4 linked regions of the Schizosaccharomyces pombe genome follow. Each later gene encodes a partner of the first gene's protein in a complex. Each region holds a gene or a part of one and is shown on either strand. Other genes may lie near its edges.

Evidence for each region.
Region 2: mrpl28 (region 1) and mrpl12 share a complex: the UniProt entries of both Schizosaccharomyces pombe proteins name them as parts of the mitochondrial large ribosomal subunit.
Region 3: mrpl28 (region 1) and mhr1 share a complex: the UniProt entries of both Schizosaccharomyces pombe proteins name them as parts of the mitochondrial large ribosomal subunit.
Region 4: mrpl28 (region 1) and mrpl44 share a complex: the UniProt entries of both Schizosaccharomyces pombe proteins name them as parts of the mitochondrial large ribosomal subunit.

Annotation. Positions count from the first base shown.
Region 1 is NC_003424.3:2,666,814-2,672,336, reverse strand, and holds mrpl28 (mitochondrial 54S ribosomal protein mL40), read right to left. Parts: upstream 2,687-5,523; 5' UTR 2,525-2,686; coding exon 2,168-2,524; 3' UTR 1,969-2,167; downstream 1-1,968. Other genes in the region: SBDS family ribosome maturation protein Sdo1, read left to right, coding at 1-166; Brix domain-containing protein Rpf1, read left to right, coding at 888-1,808; mrps12 (mitochondrial 37S ribosomal protein uS12m), read left to right, coding at 3,515-4,003; hxk2 (hexokinase 2), read right to left, coding at 5,154-5,523. UniProt on the Schizosaccharomyces pombe protein: Involved in mitochondrial genome encoded proteins translation.
Region 2 is NC_003421.2:1,158,065-1,164,644, forward strand, and holds mrpl12 (mitochondrial 54S ribosomal protein bL12m), read left to right. Parts: upstream 1-2,391; 5' UTR 2,392-2,445; coding exon 2,446-2,480; intron 2,481-2,529; coding exon 2,530-3,016; 3' UTR 3,017-3,271; coding exon of another isoform or gene 3,272-3,928; 3' UTR 3,929-4,252; downstream 4,253-6,580. Other genes in the region: ipk1 (inositol 1,3,4,5,6-pentakisphosphate (IP5) kinase), read left to right, coding at 84-96, 153-2,062; Lsk1 complex gamma subunit lsg1, read right to left, coding at 3,272-3,928; protein Nro1, read right to left, coding at 4,805-5,986. UniProt on the Schizosaccharomyces pombe protein: Component of the mitochondrial ribosome (mitoribosome), a dedicated translation machinery responsible for the synthesis of mitochondrial genome-encoded proteins, including at least some of the essential transmembrane subunits of the mitochondrial respiratory chain.
Region 3 is NC_003423.3:1,798,662-1,804,605, reverse strand, and holds mhr1 (mitochondrial 54S ribosomal protein mL67 ), read left to right. Parts: upstream 1-3,315; 5' UTR 3,316-3,347; coding exon 3,348-3,875; 3' UTR 3,876-4,393; downstream 4,394-5,944. Other genes in the region: SPOM_SPBC18H10.18C (uncharacterized protein), read left to right, coding at 1,477-1,867, 1,913-2,250; vacuolar membrane cation-chloride cotransporter Vhc1, read right to left, coding at 4,394-5,805, 5,852-5,944. UniProt on the Schizosaccharomyces pombe protein: Component of the mitochondrial ribosome (mitoribosome), a dedicated translation machinery responsible for the synthesis of mitochondrial genome-encoded proteins, including at least some of the essential transmembrane subunits of the mitochondrial respiratory chain.
Region 4 is NC_003423.3:4,121,549-4,126,758, forward strand, and holds mrpl44 (mitochondrial 54S ribosomal protein mL53), read left to right. Parts: upstream 1-4,334; coding exon 4,335-4,524; intron 4,525-4,597; coding exon 4,598-4,710; downstream 4,711-5,210. Other genes in the region: actin-like protein Arp10, read right to left, coding at 1-1,080; rpl1901 (60S ribosomal protein L19), read right to left, coding at 1,591-2,172; F-box protein Pof12, read right to left, coding at 2,625-3,800, 3,887-4,033; cnp3 (centromere protein), read right to left, coding at 4,822-4,940, 5,021-5,210. UniProt on the Schizosaccharomyces pombe protein: Component of the mitochondrial ribosome (mitoribosome), a dedicated translation machinery responsible for the synthesis of mitochondrial genome-encoded proteins, including at least some of the essential transmembrane subunits of the mitochondrial respiratory chain.

The sequences.
Region 1 (5,523 bases):
ACGCTCTTTAGCTGATGAAATTGAAGAAGAAAACATTGATGATGAATATGAGTGCATAGCTCTCGTGATTCCAGGGAATTATAAGTTGATAGATGAACTTGTCCGAAATGAGACCAAAAACCGAGGTATGGTTCAAGTACTCGACATGAGCGAGGCTAGGACTTAAAAAGGTATACAAATAACCTTTCTGAAAATACGCTCTATATGAATTCCCTAATCTGTTTTCCTCCTCCTTTTTGCTTACATTGTTCATTGGCTTTTGGTTTTGAAAAATTTTGCTATTAAAAGACACGTTCTGATTCGTTCTGGTTATCCAGAACATTATTTAATTTATCAATATAGCAATTCAGTTCAGAAGAAAGTAAAAAGAAAGTAAAGAAATGAAATTAAAAGACTATCGTCCCTTTCATTTCTGCTAGTTCCATTCAAAGCACGCATTCAAATGTGAAAATGAAAGTAGCGTGAGTGATTTGTAGAATGTTGAACCCTTACCACAATGCTTTCAGTTGTTCAACAATTTAATGATGAGGATATCTATAGTGTACGATTTCGGATTGTAATATCACCTATTTACAAACAGTAATTGTAACTAAAGTATACATTTTGCTTAACAGCAGTGTGATATAATACTGCGTTAATACTTTTAAGCAAATTTGACGAAATTCGTAGCATGTTCTTCAGATTCGGTATTTTGCGACATGGAATTGGATTGTGCAATAAGTTTTTGAGACTTCAAACCCATCGTATACTTTTTTTTAACTCTCTTTTATTTGTACTTAAGTTGCTCATTCTTATCTCAATTTTTTTTAGTTGCAATTTTTTGTAAGGATTTAAATTATTTCATTCTTAAATTTTAAATTTTGAGAGATTATACGCAACTTATTAAAATGGGGAAGATTAAAAACAAAATTGTCCGCCAACAGCAGTATATGAAGGCTCTTCATCAAAAAAATAAGGACAAGCTTGAAAGAAGAAAAGAACGTGCTAAAGAAGAAGAAAAAGACCCGGAAAAGAAGAGATTGCGACTTTCAGAAAATATTCCCGCTACTATTGAATCGAAACGAGTTTATGATGAAACTATCATAGAGGATAAACCCGATGAGGAACTTCAGGCGGAGTTAAAAGATGATGAGTTTTCTGCATACTTTAGTGAAGAAAGGAAAGTTCCGAAACTTTTGGTAACCACGAGTAAACGAGCCTCTAGAAAATGCTATGATTTTGCATCTGAGCTTTTAGATTGTTTTCCTAATGCTGAATTTCGAAAAAGAACCGGAGATATTGAAGTTCATGAAATCGCAGAAGCCGCTGCTAAGCGTGGTTACACCGATTTACTGGTATTAAATGAGGATCGTAAAAAAACAAATGCATTAACCCTTGTACACTTACCGAATGGCCCTTCGTTCTATTTTACCTTATCGAATCTCCAAACAGCAAAGGAAATTTCAAATCATGGCCGCTCCACTGGTCATATTCCAGAACTGATAATCAACAATTTCTCAACGAGACTTGGTATGACTGTTGCTCGAGCCTTTCAATCATTATTTATTCAAACGCCTCAAATTCAAGGGCGACAAGTTGTTACCATCCATTGTCAAAGAGATTTTCTTTTTTTTCGAAGACACCGTTATGCATTTCGTGAAAAATCGAATATGCCAGATGGTATTGGAACTGGGCTACAAGAATTAGGTCCTCGATTTACCATGCGTCTTCGTATGGTTCAAAAAGGAGTATGGGATAGGAAAGAAGGGGAGGTTTTCTTCGAGAGCAATGCCGGTGAAGAATCAGATAGACGTAAATTCTGGCTTTAAAGACATTTTGTCTCATCTGCGACACGTTGTAAAAAGAAAACAGTGTTTGGGTCATATTTTATTGTTTTCGAGGTAGGGTTTGGGTTTGGTAACAATTCTAAATTTTTGGTTAAAAAAGAAAGCATGGCCTTTCATTTTGTATCATTCGTTTACGGTGAAATTGGGAATGAATAATATGATACATGTAGACTAGAAACTAGGAGACATAATTCTTTAATTCAATTATTGGTTTATTTAAAAATCCTAATTAGATTATACTTGCTCGTAATTAGTGATACATTTTTTTATATACTTGAACTTGTCTATAACACTTTCGAGCACTACCGAAGATATTAATTATACTCATAAAAGGCGCTCGCCTATTTAGAAAGCCGTGGTGGTGTGTCCGTAGGAGTCCTCGTTTCTACGGGGAACCTCCTGTTAATTGAATCGCTCATTGCGGCTTTATATAATGTTTCACTCGTATGCTTCAGTTCCTCGCAAGCAATTTTCATTGCAGAGAATTGGTTTTTTAGAAGATTCTCTCTTTGTTTTTCTTGTCGATATTCGTGTATACGCCAAGCGCGATTAATAACTTCGTGTTTTTCCCACATGTCTGGATTCATTTTCAAAGACCTGACTTTTTTATTTCCGTAAAGAGCTTTTCTAACCAAATCGATTGACTCACTATGATTAGAAGGACCAGATTGGTGCTTTCCCTTTGAGGCCTTAGCCATTAATTGTAACGTAGAACGCATCTGCCAAAAAACTTTTCAACACAAACTAAAGTACTCCTTGAATTTTTTCACGTTGATAGAAAAAAATTTAATTTTCAAAAGTATTAACATAAAACCTTCCTTTAAAAGCTAAAAAACCTGAGTAGAGAAAAATGCGGTAGTAGTAAACGTGTTCAGTGGTATGAAGCTAATTAAGAGAGTAAGTCGTGATACACTAGGAAAAGCCACCAGTACGATATTTCAAAAAAAGAAGTGTTTCATCAAATCCCCTTCAATTTCACACACTGATAAAAAAAATATAGATTATAATTCGGAGTTCATTTAATTGTTTCTGAATTTTCAGTAGCTAAGCCAAACAAAGCATATGCATTTATGGAGATATGTAACCAAACGAAGACATTTAACAAGTAGAAAATATTAAGTTTTAAGTCAAAGCTTTATATGGAGTAGGCCTGATGCTCAATTTTTCTGCTAAGTTTCATGTAAGTAGTCAAACACATTGATAAATCCATATCAGTGTTTAAAGTTTTAATGAATGGATAAGTTATTGTAATAAATACTATCATCAACTGAAAATGGCATGGCAAAACGAAGCTTAAACCTCAATACAATCTACTTCCAGTACGTTTTTCAGTAGAAGTCATGAATTAAGTTGATTTTTTCAGCTTAACACTGTACTGTAAATTTGTCGATTAGCATACCTACATTCTGCATCTGTTTTAGACTAGTCCATTAAAGTTCAATTCCTAGAGGAAAAAATATTTAATACGCTAGTTATACCCAAAAATGTTTGTCAAAATATAAAAGAATAAATTTTTGTATCCCATCGAATAATATGAATGCTGCGAGATATTCTATTCCAAGGCAATATACATACACTAACACCAAACCAGCGACGTTCGGGTACAAACTTCGGAATTCCTTGCTCAAGCATCTATTATAGTGATTTTTGAGATTTTATACAGCTCAAATATTAAATTTCCCCAAATAATGATCCGTTTTGCTCAATATGCTCGATATCCGGTAATTTCAAGGTTGATGAAGCCAACAGTTATTTCACCATTTCAGGCTCAAGCGTTTTCTAGCTCTTCAGTTATGTTAAAGACATTAAATCAAACGATAAGAAATAAAGAGAAACGTCCTGAAAAAACAAATAAGCAATCTGTTGCTTTAGAGGGAAGTCCGTTTCGACGGGGTGTGTGCACGAGGGTCTTTACAGTAAAACCCAAAAAACCTAATTCGGCAGTAAGAAAGGTTGCCCGTGTACGCCTTTCAACCGGCCGTTCTGTTACTGCTTACATTCCAGGTATCGGTCATAATGCACAGGAGCATGCTGTGGTATTGTTAAGAGGCGGCAGAGCACAGGATTGTCCAGGAGTCCAATATCATGTTGTTCGGGGTGTCTATGACATTGCTGGTGTAGCGGGACGTGTCACATCCCGAAGCAAGTATGGAGTAAAAAAACCGAAAGCAGCCTAAACTTCATGACCTCAAAGACTTTCTTTTTCGAAAACCATGATATTCAGAAACGTTATCTTTATAATTATTCCACCTCCTCTTTTGATATCGATTCACAAGGACCTTATTAAAATGACTGAAACAAAAATTTAAATGAGAAAAAAGTTGAGTCAACCCATTTGTCATTTCTCGCAACCTTGCTTCTTGTTGCAACTATACATATTCAATAATCATTTACTCTTGCATGTTTAATAAGCAATTTTTTAGTTGAACTACATCCCCTTTAAACATACAATCATCAAAAAAAGGTAAAAAAGATTGTGTAATTAGGCAATTTCCAGTTATCTAAAAAATTAGCAAATAGATAATCCTTTTGGTTAAAATTTAACCAAATCTATCTAAACAATGATTTATTAAAATGAGGAGGATTTTCTTTTGAGAAATCCTTTTGGAAAGTTTTCTACTTTTTTGATATAAGCTCTTTAAATAAATTTTAAACTTGAGACGCTTTCAATTTTTAATTTGTTCAATTTGGTTTTACTACCGTGCTATTTAATTTTTAACTCTTGAATAAAGTATAAAAAACACCTTTTGGGTGTTGGAAAACGCTTTCCGGTTCTTATTTATATAGTATGCAGTATTGCTAGCACAACTTCACCGTTCAACGTTGCAGAAAAATTTACTAAACGATGAGAAAAATATTTTTTAACAAATCTTGGTTAATTGGATTTCTTGAAAGAAAAAGAAGATTTTATCTTGAACCCGAATAATTCATAAATTTGAGATAATAGGGTATGATGAATCTTATTTTTTACAAACTCAGATTAAAAAAAATCAAATTTCTTTTTGTTAGAATCAATTTACACACACATCTTTGAGATGTCCTGTAATGTTTGTAAATTCCGTACTCTTTTTTGGAATGTTAACAAAATCGTAACAAATTTAATAACAATACACAACCACAATTTTGTTTTAAAGAGACATATAACATCAATCACAACATGCTTTTTAATTCATCTGATATTCAATCTTCATACTATTAACTAATTCCAGGAAATAAATTCACTTTCAAAAAAAACATCTTAACTAAAAGCTGTTAAAAAGCAATTTCATATTTACATGCTCATTTCTACGTACAATTCAAAAAAAGCTAACAGACATCTAACATGATTTAGGCCAAGCCTTTCTTTTCCTTAACAGCTTGGAGGGCGCAAAGAGCGGCACCAATACCACTGCCATCCTTGGCAATACCAATGGAAATCAATTTTTCGTTATCACCGATAAGCTCACGCAAGGCTTCACGGAGCATGTCAACAAAGTGAGGATAGTGTTCGACTAAAGAACCATCAACACCAACATCACTCTTCTTACCAGCGCGGCCGGTAGAAAGATACAAAGAAGCAATGGGAACGGCAGACATACGAGCAGCACGACGGCCAATTGCATGAGCAGCATCCCAAAGGTACAAAGCCTCTTCGTCGCTGCGGAAACGGAACTTGAATGTACTAAGAACGTTACGAACATTCTCAGCAGAACGTTCA
Region 2 (6,580 bases), on another chromosome or scaffold:
ATTTCGTTCAGAATTTTGGTCTATTCTCATTTTCTACCCTTCTTCTTTTCTTTTTTGCATCCTATTTATTCTATTAATTTGAAATGCCTCTAAAAAGTATGTCTTCTTACTTCCTTTGAATTTGTATAGTGTGCTAATTTAATTTACAAAAGATTATACAAAGACTACGTCTAAAAAAGAACCTAAACAATTAGATATTGCTGCTTCTGATCAACAAATTGAGCAGTGGAGTGATCAGATCCACAAATTAGATAAAGCGATTCGTTCTACAATCGATAACTCTCGACTCTTCTATGATGCTTGGAGATGCATGGTTTGTATAGCTCCCTCCGTCACTGCCTCTTGGATTTCTTTGTACAGACAGTTACCTCCTGAAAAACAACCTGCTGCTTCTGTCGGAACATTGGTCGATTGGAACAAGGCCTTGGAACGTCAACGTCGTGAAGTCTTGCTTGCCCTGCAAAATTTCCATGTCATAGTTATTGCTCCTTGCAAGGAGGTCAAAGGCTATGTAAAGAAGGCAGTTGAAATGATTAAAAGAAGAGATAAAAAAGTAAAAGAACTTGAAAAAATTCAAAAAGAATTATTGGTTGTTTACGAATTGCCTGATCCTGAAACCAAAAAAAGTAAAATTAAAGCATTACAAAGCCAGCTTGTCCGTGTCAATGGTGAATTGGATGACCTTCAGAAGCATTTAACTTTGTCCTTCCCAACTCTTATTGCAAAAAGTCGTGTTTTTTTTGGACAACTTATGAAGCATTTTTACTGCTTGCAACTTCAAATGTTTCGAAAAATGCACAACATTGTTCGCCCTTGGGATTGTTTTCAAGACGATATTCCCCAAACGTGGCTCGTTGAGTTTTCCTCAGTTTGCCAGGCTGCTGAAAGCATTTCCTTAATTGCCGTAAACAACAACCGTCCTCCCGTAGAACTTCCAAAATCTGGTGATGTTTTATCAAATAGAGAGTGGGAAGCTGGAAAAATTGATGCCATGAATTCTCTCATCGCTCAGAATTTGCATACTTCAGCGTCTCAGGTAAGCCTTTCGCCTATGGCTAGTACCGCTAGCTCTTCTGTTACAAATTCTCCCGTTGACACACATACTCCTTCAACTCCAATTATGTCGCGTCCTCCATCCATGAAAGCCCTTTCTTCTGGTGTAGAGTCCCAAGATGAATCGGTTGCTAGTAGTAATTTTCAAGTTCCAATTATATCGAATCCGCTTTTTAAATCCCCTGCACCTTATTCACCAACATCCGTTATCTCCAATCATTCCTCCACCGGTAAATCCCTGGTGATTTCTGAATGGGCATACCTTGCCTCAGGAAGTGCGAATGTGGTGTTTGAGTATGTTGGTAAAAATCCTTACTTTCAAGACAAGGTAATTCGTCTTCGACGTCGAGGACAGGTTTTTACTACAGAACAAGTTTATGAATACTATCAAAATGTAATTTATCCTTTGTTTGCTGGAATGGAAAGCTTTTTAATTGAGGTTTTTTTGCAGCCAGTTACTAGGGATTTTTTGCTGGCGGCCCAAAATGCTTCTGGTATTTATTTAAATTTAAATGAGCAATACTGTTTGGTAATGAAAGATCTCAAAGATGGAATTGAAATGAAACCAAAATGGTTGACTCAGTCCCCTGCCGCTCCACCTGACTGGGTTGTTTGTCGAACGTGTGCCCTTAGCCGTATGCGTGGTAGACCCGTTGGTTTTTGTCCTCTACAGCTTGATTTCAACAATTGGCCCAAGTTTTTGTGCTGTCTTCAAGGATTTGTGAGTCCTGATATCGCAATGAGATTGTTTCAGTCTGGTATACTACGGAAGCTTCGTGACCTACAAGAGCAATACTCTCGTACTGATGTTGCGTTAGCGATGACCCTTCGAGATGTGACTTTATACATTGGTAAAGATCACATAACATTACTAGATTTAGATCCTAAAGACATGAATACCAAAATGTCTAAATGGGAACGTGATGAAAGGAATTTGATTGAAGGCGGTTGGTACTATGGTCGTGGGATGAAGTCTACTGACAAAGCATGCCGGAGCAGCATAAAGTAATTATCTCATTGTTAATTTTTTTTCTAATATGTAATACCACCATCAATTTGTGGATTTATTGCAATATTTCAATACATTATGCATTTTTGTTTTATTTGTTATATGCCTGATAATTAACAGGGAGATAAAAGCATAAAAATAAAGGGTTAGATTTATTTGTTCTCTTCAACTAACTGTTGAACACTTAATAATTCTAGAGCATTTTTTACTACGAGGTTAGTTTATTTTCTAATTATTACTAATGAAAAATTAATAAGATCCATTGAACATATTTTAGATATTTGATGAATGATCACCTAAAAGTTGTAGTTACTATACTTAACTTGCCAACCCCCATCTCACTTGCACCTTACTTCACCTCAAGTATAATTTTAAAATACAGCATGTTTCGCATCGCATCACGCCAAACAAGAAATCTGTAAGATTGTAATTATTTTTAATTAACAAATTTATACTAACTTTAAAAGACGTGCTTTATCTTCCAGTAAGAACTGGGCAAGATCGTTGGTAAACACGCGATCATTTCGAGCTGCCGCATCTGTACAAAACAATAATGCCCAAATTGGGGAAATGGTTGACAAAATAAGCTCTCTATCATTGTTAGAGACGTCTGAACTTGTAAAGCAATTAAAGGAGAAGTTAAACATTGCTGAAATAGCTCCGATGGCAGCAGTGGCTCCAGCAGTAGCTTCAGCCGCTCCTTCTGAAGAGAAAGCTCCTGAGGAAAAGAAAGAGGAAAAAACCACCTGGAATTTGAAACTCGAATCGTTTGATGCTGGTTCGAAAGCCAAGGTGATCAAAGAGGTGAAGTCTCTTTTGGGATTATCTCTTGTGGACGCAAAGAAATTCGTTGAAAGTGCTCCAAAGGTTTTGAAAGAAAATATTTTGAAAGAGGATGCTGAAGCTATAAAATCGAAGTTAGAGAAACTTTCTTGTAAAGTAGTCCTCGAATAAACTGGGTTGTTTATAAAAAATTTCATTTCTATGCTTTTCCGCCATTCAAATTCTTTGGGCAACCTTTTTGTTATTGCTTTGACATTGTGACACGATTTACTTTCTTGGATTCCCATAAAAACTAAGCTACGGAGGGAAAATTCATCATCTCTAAAAAAACCAGATATTAGGTAATGTATAAAATACTCCAAAATTATTAGTTAATTATATGTTTTTATTCTATTTGGGTTACACTCTATGTTTTCGCTCTTCGGTTCAGGAAGTTGCATGAAGACATTCATTAAACTTTTCGTATTCATCCTTTAGGGATTCCAAATCGCTTTCAGTAATTCCTTGGGTAGTGTTCCATGCAATTTCCGCTTCTAACTCTGGTTCTGAAATAGCCCAAATGTTTTCACGCATTCTTTTGTGTCGCTCTCTGTCTTCTTCAATCCTCTTAAGAATGTCGTTTTTTGAAATGGCTCCTGAAGTACTGGTATCACCTGACTTGCTCGCTTGTTCATGGGCTTCTACCGTAGCCATAGCATCTTTATATTGATTATCATCGATTACCTTCTTTTCATGCAAAGACTGGAGTACTTTTCTAACCTCTGGAGCGTTAGCAGCTCCAGCAGCTCCTATAGGAGCTACGTTCTGGACTAGCTTACAGATATCTCTACTAATCATATTAAGATATCCACCTGTAAGGCCATTTTTTAAGCACATCTCACAGAGTGTGTCCACAAAGTACATGATATTCACTCTTGTATTGAACGAACCTGACTCTAGTTCCTCCCATATACATGAATATAAGTCTTCTTCCAAGTCTAGATGCTTAATTGCAAATTGCGCGGGTTTAATTTGAGAGAATTGCGATGCATTCAATTTTCCCAAAAGCTGTAGAAATGTCATGCGGCCCTCAAATGGATCCATTTTATTATTGCAAGTATATTGGTAATTGCGAGTGCAACAACGATTTTTGTTATGATGGTTTTTCTTATACTTCGTGAACTTTGAATTCCAAAAACATCAAGAATAATTTTTTAAATAATAATAATGTGTGTTGTCTTAAATTTCAAATATAGAATAAACTTCCTTTGCCAAGTGTTCATCTATTCTTGAAGCTGCAATCTCTGAAATTTGAGACTAAAAAAAGCGTTGGGATACTATTTTGCGAAAGGACGTTGAACCTTTCCAGATTCAAATAAATTAAAATATACTCAGTGCATAAGTAATATTAAGAGGTCTTCAAACTGTTAGCATGTTGCAAAATCTGTTGCTTTAAGTAGCATGTTACTTTATTTCAAACACTATTACTGTACCTTTAAAGAAACTAAAATCTCATTTTATTAAATACTACTTTTTTAGTAATTTCAACAGCGAAATAGTAAATTTTCAAAGATATTTTTATATAGCCCTGATAAAGTTATAACCATTCACCAAACTGTTAGGATCTCTGAGTATAAATAGCGGGAAAGAATAACTACTATACTTTAATAAAAGCACAAAAACCGACCTTACTTATATGGTAAAATGAAACCCATGAATCAGTAAACAATTTTTATTTTTTTATACGCTCTACTAAGTCGTACATACAAAATCAACATTTCCTTTCAATAAAGAACTGCTTTGAAATCTAAAATGGCCAGCGACAAACTTATAAGGTTTGCCTAAAAAGTAAATATAATGGAGAAAAATACTCTCGAAAAGAGAAAAAAAATGCAGGATGTATTGTTCAAGGAGAAAAATATAACAACGGGATAATGATATAATGGAAATACACCCGTCAAGTTGCAAGTAAAAGCGATCCTAAGCAGAATAAGCTTCTACAAACTCAACATAATCAGGACTTAACTCAACACCTGATCCTTGAGCCTCCTTGATAGCATTGCAAGCTTCCTTCAAGTAATTATCCTGACTAGCCTCGTCTTGAACAATTTGAGCCAGATCCATCTTTATATCCGCAAGTTTTAACAAGCGTTCAGGAGATTTATCCAGAGTATAAATAACATTCCAGGTATCGACAGAATTGTTGAGCCAGCTGGAAGCCTTGTTGATTAGGTCATCTACATTACTTTCACTGTTGTCGAGCAAATCCATATAATATTCCGCGAAGGTAGTATAATTATTTAGAACAGCCTCTTGAGCGATTAACTTATAATAGGCAGGAGTGTTGGGATCGACAACAGATTTTAACCACAATGCAGTTATAATTGAACAGACATCAAGGAGAAAAGCTTCAGAGAATTGATCACCGAATTGAAAGAGGTAGGAAGAGAGAATGTATAATGGGCGTAAAGAATCGGGGGTAAGAGCATCAAAATATTCAGTGGAATCCTGAGCAAGAGGACGAAGGTATTGGATGGCCTTCTCAATATATGGGTTTACCAACTGAGTGACCGGGATGTTGGCAAGAGATTCCTCGTTATCGTGACGCCAAACAAGAACACGTACCTTCTCAAGGTAAGCACGAGCAAGAGCAAGGAAAAGTCTCGATTCGTTGCCAGGAGCATCCAAGCCAAGTTGAGCTCTCTCGATTGCAGCATCTATGTAGGATTCTTCGGTATTGGTTTCCTTAAGACGCTTTTGTGCAATTTCGAAAAGCTCGGACACAGCCAAAAGAGCGGAGGAATAGGCCGCGTGAAAGTCCTTGGGTAATGTAGAAATGTCCTCGGTATTCCGTAATATTCTATCAGCCTCGTGAATGGTACCAAAGACAAGGCTCACACTAGCATCTATATCGTCATTTTCCAACTTTTCGCGACTCATCTCGTATAAACCCCAAAGTTGTGAAATATTGTCTTCCTCTGTGTAAACAAGCATTGTCTCATCCTCCATTTCTCCATTGTCGACATTTTCGCTTCCGTTTTCCTTACTAGGAGACGAGTTTCCTGACAGCTCATAAGAGGCTTCTTGCTTTTGTTTTTCAAGCTGCTGCTGCTTCTTTAAAGAAGCAGCAGCGCGTAGACCTTGAGGTCTTCTTCCAATCATAACGAACCGTTAAATTAACCTGTTTTGCTAAGGCAGCGTTGACATCGAGTGATTTTTTCTACCCAAAAATCGCGCGGGAAACTTGTTAGCAAGTTACAACGTAATGTGGTATTGTTGTTGCGTTGTCGGCCATGTGCGTTAAACCTAATAAGAGCATGGCGTAACAAAAACAATACCGTCGTTTTGTGGCTGTGGAAAACGAGTTACCAGAAGCTTGGAGAACTTGACATGTTAAAATGTATTAGTGGAAAGTATAGAGGCTCGTAATACAGTCGTACATATTGACTTGTTTACAAAAATTGATGATTTTAAATTGTGAAGGGGAAGCTTATTTTAAACATCTAATTATGCAGCAAGATACATTAACACGTTTTGGATTTTCATTGTTAAAAAAAAAGAGCAAAATTAAAAAGGAGATGGAAGAAAGTAAAGCTTTATGACTTCAGCGGATCTAGAGCAATTGAAGTAAACATATCTAGCCGAAATTTAACTTAGTAAATTGATTAAGATAGGTTTCTGTAAAGGAGATCTATGATATTCAAAATGCGGCAATATTTCTTAGGGCTTATGGCGCAAAAAGGTGCTATACAAAAT
Region 3 (5,944 bases), on another chromosome or scaffold:
TCACGCTCTTTCGCTTCAATGTTTTCAATTCATGCAATATTGTATAATACTCTCCATTTCTTTAATTTAAAAACTGAGAAAATTTTATTGTCCAGTTAGAAGGTCTATTTACAAATGAGTGATGTGTAAACATAGAAAATGAAAGTGTAATCGATTTGGAAAGAGGTCTCTCTCTAAATGTAGCACAGATAATGGATGAACAACACCCACCTAATCGGGTAAGGATTTTAGTTAATAAGAAAAAATTGTATTATTAAAAAAGGATGTTTTGCTTTTCCATGTACGGTATGCTCACCACTAATGTGTTGATGAGTACTGTTTATAGCTGGTCGATTCGCTCAAAATATGTAAAGCATGGCACATCTTTATTTTCCTCATATATTTACGTTGGAATTCATAATTTAAGATTTTTTAGGTTCTCCAAACCGTAATGATACCTATTGAGTTGAAATAAATATCGGCAATGAGTACGTGCAGACTTAAAACTCAGAGCTTCCGTGGAGAACAGGATAATTAATTCTTTAAATCTGAAACAAGAAAATGGTGATGTTGAACAGCGGCACATATTAATTTCTATAAAAATAAACATAATGATTTTTGAATTACAAAGTATTGAATGGTAGTTACAACTGATACCTAAAAAGATATAGTAAACCTACCAAAATCTATTGAGCTCGACCAACAAATAGGAAATAGTATAAAATACAGTTCAACAGAACTAACTCGCTCCAAACCTGTTGTGGAGTTCTACAGTCTCGTTGTAAATTGCCAATAAGGTATGATTTAATGAATTATACAATTGTTTAAATGTACAGTTTGATATCTGCTTCAATTATAAGTAGGATTGCGGTGAGCTCTAATGATGATCTGTTGTATTACTAGATGTATGAATACATAGTAACCTGAGTTATTGATGTCGGTATTGTTTGTAACCTAACGCTGATATAGCTCATGGCTGAACCTCGCTCCTCAATTCAATTTTCAAGTTATAGTATTCAAAATCAGTATTATTGTTACTGGTAAATATCTTATTATAATTGGTAATTTAATATCTTGGATAAACTATTCATGCAAAACTAGTAGAGTAAATAAAACATGTAACATAATAGTAACTCGCGATGCAAAAACATTATAGCGGTCTTTAGTGTAGCCCACTGTCTAATAACTAGTGTTGCATACTTTTCAAAGTATGATAAAACGAAGCAAGGCATCGCTATTATAGCGTATTGGTACGCAGTGCCTAATTAATGCTAACTTGTGCGTAAATTGATATTGACAGCACAATGATTCAATTTCATTCCTTAACAAGAGCCATCTCTTTTTGTTGGATGCTTAGAACGCGTGGATTTTTAGGCTATTCAAGTGTTTGGTTTTGATCTATTTATCTATTTTATATTTTAATTTCGCATTTTATTTTGCAATGTTCAAGTTGGAACTCAAACGTATATAATCACTATTGGTAAAAGGCTCTTCAAAATGCCAGACGAAAAGTTACCTCAATACAATGAAGTTTGGAATGATTTGGAGAAGGGTTGTTTACATTCTTGTCCTTCATATTCAGTCAATAATCATGTAAACAATCCAATTGTCAAACAAAACTCAACATTAACACAACCATCGTTACGAAAAAAAAATACAATGGCTGCACCTGCTAGATTAAGAAAGCGTTCGGAAAATGTGCGACTTACACAAGCTAGATATGCGATATTTCATATCTTCCTTCCTTTCATTCTTACTTTATTGCTTTATCATAATTTTTATAATTATTTCGATCAGGCATTGGCGGATCTTAATTCTGTGGTTAAATATGTTATTGAAACTATAGTGTTAATATTTACATACGTGATGACAGTGATTATTGTTTATTGTAAGTTTTTGAGATGATTTGAATTCATGGCTAACGATTTTCTAGTTTCATTTTCGTTAATTAAATTAGCGTTTGAAGAAGCTTATGTTTATGCACCATCTGTAGCTAAAGCGAATGAAGGTCTAGCTAAACATGTAGCTAAAACGATTGCAGGCCTAGTTAAATATGTAGCTAAAGCAATTCAAGGTTTGGCTCATATTATTTTATCCTTACTGTTGTTTATTCTCGGGCTCGAAGTAATAGAACAAGATGAAGAGACTGGCGACGTTGAAATGTCGTCTATGCGAGGCCAAGCAATTACCACAGAGCCAGCAAGTGACAACACAATGGCTGAGGGAACCGATTGCAACACTTCTAAAGATGTAGAATCGGGCAGCAGCTAAAAGTCATGGCTAGAAAAAAAAATCAAGGGGCTGCCAACCAGCTGCGAGTGTCTTTTTTATTTCATTACTAATTTTCTTACTTTCCTGCAGAAGCTCCTTTTTTCCCCTTTATTTCTATTTCTTGTATTATTACCTTATACGCATTGTCACTTAATCATTTCCGATGACAGTCATCACTCTTTTTCCATACATACATTTTTGTCTCTGTTATAGAGTAAACACGATGTGTTTCTGTGGTGCTAGGAAAAGTCATTTAACTAATGAATCTGGTTGTCAATTATAAATTAATCATCCTCTTTATTGTTTTACCAAATTGATATACAATCCTTAATTATGACTTTGTAAGATTTGCGAATTAAAAAATTGAACAAGTAAGGCATTACTCAAAAGACGCAAAGTAGTGATTTAACCTTAGTTTCTGTTTAATGCATAAAATGAGGATTCCATATATCATTTTCAAGTGTTCGGAGCTTTAAAATACAGTATATACAGGAAATATAAGTTCAAACTTGTTTCTAAAACAAATAAAAATGAAAAATCAATTTGGTGTAGAGCGAAAACCTATTTTAAATAATGCGATTTCCCAATTCCTGGTCAGTAGCAATTTCTTTACAAAAAGAATTAAAAAATTATTCAATTTGTATTATATGAAATCTTTCGTATTCAAAATCTACCAACATTCAGCCCAAGCGAAAAGTAATATTTTTTGCTATGTCCATAGGTAACAATATAATTTATTTCAGAGAACACCCATTGAAATTGCTGCTTATATTAACTGTGTAACATAATATATTAGGTCACAGAGAGATTCATTGCACTTTAAGTATCGTTAAGCAGATACCGAAATACGTGAGCGACACTTTAAATAGATATTAAACTGCGTAGCTGACCAGTATTCAAATTTTCCGTCACTCACCGTATCATTAAAACATTTACTGTTTTTGGCTGCTCAACGCGCAATGCTGCCTAACATCTGTGCTAGCAAACGATATGTGTTTATTGGGCACAACGTTTATACGCGGACGCGCTATTAACAAACTTCGCATCTCTTACAAGCATATATGTAAACAGCCAATCTGTACTCGTAAAAGGAAAGAATGCTTGAAAAGAACAAGTATCTCTATATATTTAGGCATATTCAAACGAATCAGGTACTTTTATCTCAAGGAAATGTTTTAAAAAAGACTGCGTTGTTTCAACTTCCCTACCCACTTCAAAAGCCAGTCGCTCCAAATGGTATGCGACCCGCTAAGCTCCGTAAAGACCATTGGGTTCCTTTACTAAAAGTCGAATTTCCTAATGAATCAATGTTTCAATCTGTTTTTATGCAACTGTTAAACTATCGAAAATATCGTTCTGTTCAACCACTGACTAGTGACCTTTTGAAATTGCCTATACCCGTTCGTAGAAGAAAAATAATGCGACAAGAGGTTCCTAACACGATTGCGGACTTGGCAGATATTTTAAATAAAGAAAAATTTCCCGAAAATTCCGTTCGTTTGCAACTGAGTGATAAATCCGATAGTGAATATGCAGATTGGCCCCCTAGTGTGCAGATTGATTCAGAGGAAATTAAACTCTCGCGAGGTTTCCGTGAAAAAACAACCGTAGACGAAGCTAGATGAAGCATAATATCATTACTTCTCTCACTTTCTTCCTTCAAAAACACCCCTCATCCATTTTTAGGCTTTCTTAAAGGGCATTATATGAAGTATAAGCTAACACATATTCATATTAGCTCAATCTTTTTTACTTAATGATAAAGTCCTTTTTACTAAAGACGGTTACGAATTCTTCCCAGTGTATCCAGTGTATTGCACTGGACAGCTTCCTTAGCTTATCATTGTACTTCAATGCGAGAGTATTGGCTAGATACTCAAGACAAGATAAATTTAATACAAATCGACACCAAATACTCGTATCTTTATTATTTTACCATTTTGAAGTTTTCGAGCTCCTATGAAATATATGCAAGATTAACTCATCACTTTATTGCCTCGTTTTTTTTTTGTTTAAAGTTTGGTCCAGAATAAAAAAAAAATATTAGCATCTAAAATAGAAATCATGGACCAAATATTTAAATAGTTATAACAATGCCAAAAGAAAAGACTTTATAAACCAAAGACATAAATACCATAAATCGTTAAAGAGCGGTAGTTATAGTTAAACTCTTAGAGTGGATTAATGCACAAGGAGGTAATCCTTCCATAAATATTAATAAGTCATCAACATATTCCTCGCTTTTTCGAAAGCTCTTATGAGTGTCGGCCAAAGGTGCTGGTAAAACAGTAAACAATACAGAAGTATTTTTAGTATGTTTCAGCACGATTTCATTCATAATTATGTATTGAGATCTCGAGGATAAATCGTTAAACGTCAACTTCTCTTTAGAATAGTCCCTTCCTATTTTTTTCTTTGGTGCTAGTCTATCAGATGAACTATCTTCTCGGACCACGTTGGGCATCAGAGATGACTCAATAGTACTGTCAGAATAAGTTCTTCTATTTTCTTGTTTTGGTGATAAAGAACGGTTTCCGAAAGAAGATTCAGTCTCAAACGACTTTACTGAATGCATATGTGGCCCAAGGCGGAAACTCAATGGCACACTTAAAGGTGGAGCACTCTTATCAAAGCTGGCAGATCTAAAGTTATAACCAGACATACGACGTGGAAAACGAATAGGTCCTAAGGAATCTACAGTATTTCCTCTTCTTTTCTTTTCTTCCTGCCACCACGAGTCATCTTTCAGTAAGTTTTCAAGCTCGGAAGACTTGCTAGGTCTCACATGCTCATTTTTGACAATGTACCTATATGCATCCAAATTCATTGCAGCAAGACAGAGCACTACAACGTCGGCTTTGATACGGAACGTTTCTAGCATTTGATGCATGCTTTCTCGTTCTGCCTCTATTTCATTCTCGAATTCAACAAGAGTGATAAGCCGTAGCCTACAACCTTGTTTCCAATCTGAAGCTGTATGAAGGATCCAACTAAGTTGAAAAACCATAGTATACGTCTCGAAATTCGTCGCAAACGTTGGTGTACTTTCATTGACTTCTGACCCCACACCTGATATTCTATGAATGGGAAACATATCTATATATTGCTTTTCTCCCTTTCTTTTTGGCCAATTAAGTCTATCGAACCCATTAGTTACCATAACGTCCACCGAACCAACAAGCATGTCTTCCAATATCTGTACCCACTTCACAGGTAGTATATCATGCTCCACAAATTCTTTTTTACTGTCAGATTCTGATTCTTCACTAGTATTCTCAAGAGAGAAAGAAGAACCCGAGTATATACGATGTCTACGATAATTCGTATTAATAAATGTTAGCACAGCTATGTTTGGACGAATTCCCCCCAAGCCTGCAGAAGATATAAGACCACGGATACCCCAAACTTCGTCTGGAGCAATAGTTAGTTCAACAAATGCTTTGATACCTCGATCAAGGACAAACTGATGCCAAAGACGTTGCTGCTTTCTTAAATCATCCATGCTAGCCTGAAAATCATCGGATACAATAACGTGCCCTAAGATATAGAGGGAACCTATAATTTATGGGTTAGTATTGTCAAAAAATGTCGGTATACATGCCTTTCTTTAATGAATTGCAGAAACGGATAACATTTTCTGACCGATTCGGGTTGTTAATCAAAAGTAAAATTTGAGGCCTCCAAAACTTTATAT
Region 4 (5,210 bases), on another chromosome or scaffold:
CTCAACAATAGAATGACGAAGATGTTTAGGATCATCCGGGTCATAATCTAACTGTGATTCGCAGGTAGTGCTTGCTCCATTCCATGCCATCATGTCTGCAGTTGTCTGTCCTGGTACAGCTTTTATAGCGAGTCCACGAGATGTCATTTCATTTTGAAATCTCTGGTACCAACCTGGAAGCGAAGGAAGAATCCCATTAAAAACAATTAACTTCGACATAATCCTTCTAATGTCAATTGGAAGAATACGGTACAGAGATAGTAAAACGTTAGGAAGGGCTTGGTCTGCTATGTCCGACCCTCCAGCATCAGAACCCTCAAAGAGAGCCTCAATGCCTGCATTGGCGATCCAAGATGGAACTCTAATTTTTTCAGCGTCATTAAAGCTTGAGCCCCGTTCAGTTTTATTTGTTTGACAAGTTGTTTCAGCTAAGGGTAAGATATCCGAATACCGAAAGTAAGCTTCTTGATCTGTTAATTGATAGAGCTCTTCAGTCGGTTTGCTTGGTACTCTTGATTTTAAAAGAGACTTCATTAATGCTTCCGTTACGGCAAACTCCTCATCTTCCAATAGCTTTTGAGAATTTTTCTTGTTGTTCAGTTTAAAACAGTCAGCCATACGTTCCAAAACCGTACTTAAGCTTCTTTTTGAAGTTTTTGTATAATGCATTAAGATACAAAGGTCTAAAATTACGATGAACTTTGTTTCTTTCATCCCGATATCCACAATTATTGCATCTCTTGTTGATGTGCTTAGGATCGCTGTTAATGGTGCACATATCCACAACGTGATTGGAACGTTTAAAGTGTTGAATAATCCATCACAAAGCTCTTTTTTCTGTTTCCTTGTAACAAAAATGTCCAATACTAATACAACGCGTACTATTTCAGCTAGACAGTTAAATGTGTTCAAGCAGTATCTTTGAATTATAGTTGTCACAATGGATATAGGGACCCAGCTTTGTTTATAAGGAACAAGATCTACTTTCCAAGTTGGCTCTTTATCGCTAGCATTTCCGATGTAAATTCCAAATTCGTCAATTTGCACCACTACGGTGCTAATATCGCAATTTTTTCGCATCAAAATAATTACTCGGAATTCAATTTAGTAGCAGTGATGTTAAAAAAACTCTTGTCGCTATTTGTTTGGTTTGGCAAAAGAAATGTAAGGGTTTGATATTTATTCAATAATTGTACTTTGACAATTTTTAAACAAATTGTTTTACTGAATAAAAAGTGGATGGCTTTTTATTTACAAAGAATACATGTATTACGGAAATGCACTCAAAACATTCGTGTGTTTACAAAACAAGTACGGCTAATCAAACGCATTCCGTACACTTAAATTAACTCAAACTTTATATGTATAAACAAAATAATATGAATTAAATACACATTTACTTATAATGCAACTTACAAAGAATATGATAAGAGAAATACGAATAATTGCTATGTTACGTTAAACATAATTGCTTACAAAAAAAGCTACAATTGCAAATCCACTACAATCAGGCACAAATTACCGCTTGAAAAAAAAACAAAAATAATCATCATCATGCTATTCCAGTTCAAAAGGGGAAAATATATTCATTTACTCCTCAATCTTTTCGGCAGCAGTGTAAAGTTGCTCACGCTTTTCTTCAACAGCCTTGGCTCTGCGTTGACGAGCAGCCTTGGCACGAGCACGACGAGCATCTTGTTGCTCTTGGATCAACTTAGTACGGTTGGCCTCAGCCTTGGCACGTTGAATATGCTCAATTAAAGCACGCTTGTGTTTAAAGGTGTTACCCTTAGCTTCCAAATAAAGAGTGTGATAAAGATGCTTATCAATCTTGCCAGACTCACGATACTTGCGAAGAAGACGACGCAAAACACGTTGACGGCGCATCCAAACAACAGCAGAGGGCATACGAGCTTCGGCAGTACCCTTACGCTTACCGTAACCGGTGTGACGACCAAGACGCTTGGCGGCATGGGTCTTACGAATGCGGAAGCGAGAATGCATCAAGTTAGGCTTGCGAATAACCAAACCGTCCTTAATCAACTTACGGACGTTTTGACGGCTGTTGGCATTGCTGATTTCGCTGATTTCATTAGGATCCATCCAAACTTTGCGTTTGCCGCATTTAAGGACGGATGCAGCAAGTCGCTTCTGCGTTCTAAGATTGGCCATTTTTCTTGCTGTTTTTGGTGGACGGACAATCTTTCTTAAACAGGCGTGGTCAATTCTTTTGTTTTTGGGGCAGTCACGTTTAGGGTAGGGTTGGGTGATAATTCAGTACTCTGCTATGAGGAACAATGACAACGAATAAAGAATAAAAAAAGTATTTAGAAAATTTATTAACATTACCAAATGCTTTGACTGAAGTAAATATGATTATTAAAATTATCCCTTACATTCGTTGAATCAGTTACCGAATATGCACATTGTGTTTCATTATTTTAGAGGATGCAAACTGAAAGGTATAGCAGATACTCGTAATACAGTATATTGAGGCTCATTAACCTTGAAAAGGCACTTAATAATCCAATCTAAGTAATAATAATAATATAAATAAAATTATAAAACTATGGTTAAACTCATCATTTAGAATTCAATCATGTACGATAAAGTGAAACCTTTCTCTAAATATTAAAGAGAAACTTTAATATTCTGCCGTCGGAAAGGGTTATCAAAATAGTATCTTCATACAGTCCTATATCTTGAACCTTACATTCTTTTTCGTAATCAGATACGGGCTTATTGTGGATGTTTGTGCAAGTTAGCATTAGCGGAGATACGATTGATTGATAATTTGTATCATGAAGATCCCAAACACAAATATCGGCACAGTTTTTGGATACAGAAACAATTCTTCCACAAGAAAATAGTTTAGATATCTGAACACCACAAACGTGTCCTAAGAGACGACCTAAAAATTTTATCCGTAATTCGTTGTTAGTTGAATAAAGCCTCTGCAAAATTAAAGAATTGTCCGGATGAGATGTCAAAATATAGGACCCATACATAAAAATAGCAGAAGCAGGTTGCTGAGAGTACTCAATGTCTTTGTTGTCATGCAATGCAAGCCTACTACTTTTGACGCAATATTCGTTGAAAACAAATTCTTGCAAACTAACGGTCCATCCACCAGATAGAACATAATCATTAAAAACTACATGAACAACTTCATATCCTTCTTTTGATTGCTGAAAGTGAATAGCAACCTGTTTTTCAATACTTGAAACATGATATTTACCAAGTACTTTCAATTTGGTTCCAGCTTGATGAGAATGCTGAAGTATATATAAATTGTTGTCGTTTGTCAATCCACAAATGTAATTTTTATGCGATGATAATGCCACAAATTTGGTAGAGAATGTTGCAAGGTTTTCAATATTTCCGAAACCTGTCTCATGCACCGTTACATGTAGCAGGTTACCATCCTTTAAACCAATATAAAGGCTGGCGTTATCCAGACACATTACAGCCGGACCAGATTTGACAGTTTCATCTCTAAAAGAAGAAATAGCCTGGCATTTCAAACTGTTACCAACTGAGCTCCATTTTGATATTTGAACGTCATTACAAAAATAAATATTATTTTGGTGTGTAAGCGTTAGCCCCAAACGATCTTCTCCAACGCTTTTTTCAGAATTAAGCAATTGAGGGAGCATAGACTCTACTTTTTTACAACGTCCGTCCTTCCAGTTAGATTGCCTTCGAAACAATCCTTTCCAATTCCTTCGTTTTTTTTCAATGCGACCATGTCGTCGTAAATGCTTAGTCCCAAATTCTGAGAGATATAAATTATGCCATACCTGTATGAAGGTCGTTAGTACATGGAAATCAGTCTCTCAAAACATGAAAATTCGACTATATCACTAAAAAGTCAAGAAGAACATACCGATGAACGGCGCACAATTGAATTCCAACTACGAGATACACGTTCTAAAGCAGCTAAGTCATGTGCAGACAAATCATTAAGAACGTGAAGGAGGGTTTCATGGCTGAAAATCGACGCAGGGTTTTTAGCCTTCACATCGGTAGTCATGTTGGATAAAATCAAAATTGCAATTGTTCATGAAAAAATATTTCACAAGCGGAAACCGAGGTTCTATATAAAATTGGAATGACAAATTGTATTATAGAGACATACTAGTTTCGTTTGTATCTCCAAGTTGACTTAGTTGTTGTAGGAAGTGAGACTATCAGGGTAACGGTCACCTAGCTTACCAAATGTCATTTCGTTTACAAAACTTACCACCATTTAATGTATTTAAAATATCTACACATAAAGATCTCTTTTAATTACATTCCTTGACGACTTTACTCTCCAGTTAAAATTTTTAATCATGATATTTGGGTACATTAATAAATTGTCAATTTTGAATGTGAACCCGTTTTCCAAAGCTAGTCAATCTGCGAAACTTTTGCTAGCAGTTGCCAGTAAAGAAACCAGCAACTCTCTTTATGGACTTAATCTCATTACCAGTCTTGCATCAAAGGATACCAATTCAAAACCATCTGTTGAAGTTGTATACAGTAAGGCTTTTAAGTAGCTAGATGGTTTAACTGCGACCGTTAGATTTGACTTTTGCTAATAATTATTATTTAGAGGATGGAAAAAAGTTGACTGTTGATCCGACAAAAATGAATATTGGTAGGCTAACTGAATTAATTGACGATTACAGTAAAACGCTTAAATTTAAGGAAATGATGCAAAAATAAGTTTAGAAAAAATGACTTTATTAATATGATTAAATTGATAACAGATAATTAAATTACATAACGACTAAATGACTTTTGTACATCGAAATCCATAACACACTATTAGTATTGTCATCGTTCGTTTGGAAAATCCCCTATTCCCCTTCTTTTATTTTCCAAGGTGTCGGTCGCATGGGTATAATAAAGTCGAACAGCTTCTTTGCCGATATTTTTTATGCTGTAATAATTCCCTAAAGCAATGTTAGTCAAAACACATTCTCGGTGTATAATTCCTGTTTGAATTTTTAGAAATGTGTATATTTAAACTTACCCCTTGGAACAATAAATACTCCATCTTTTTTCATTCGAAAAGTGGTTGCATTTACTGTGACCTCGATCTTTCCCTGTAGTATACAAAAAGACATTATGTTGTGTTTCGAAGGCTTCACTGGTTTTTCTGCTCCTGCTGGCATTTCAACGACGCCAGCAGCAAAAGATGGCTCCTCCTTGAACAAGCTGGC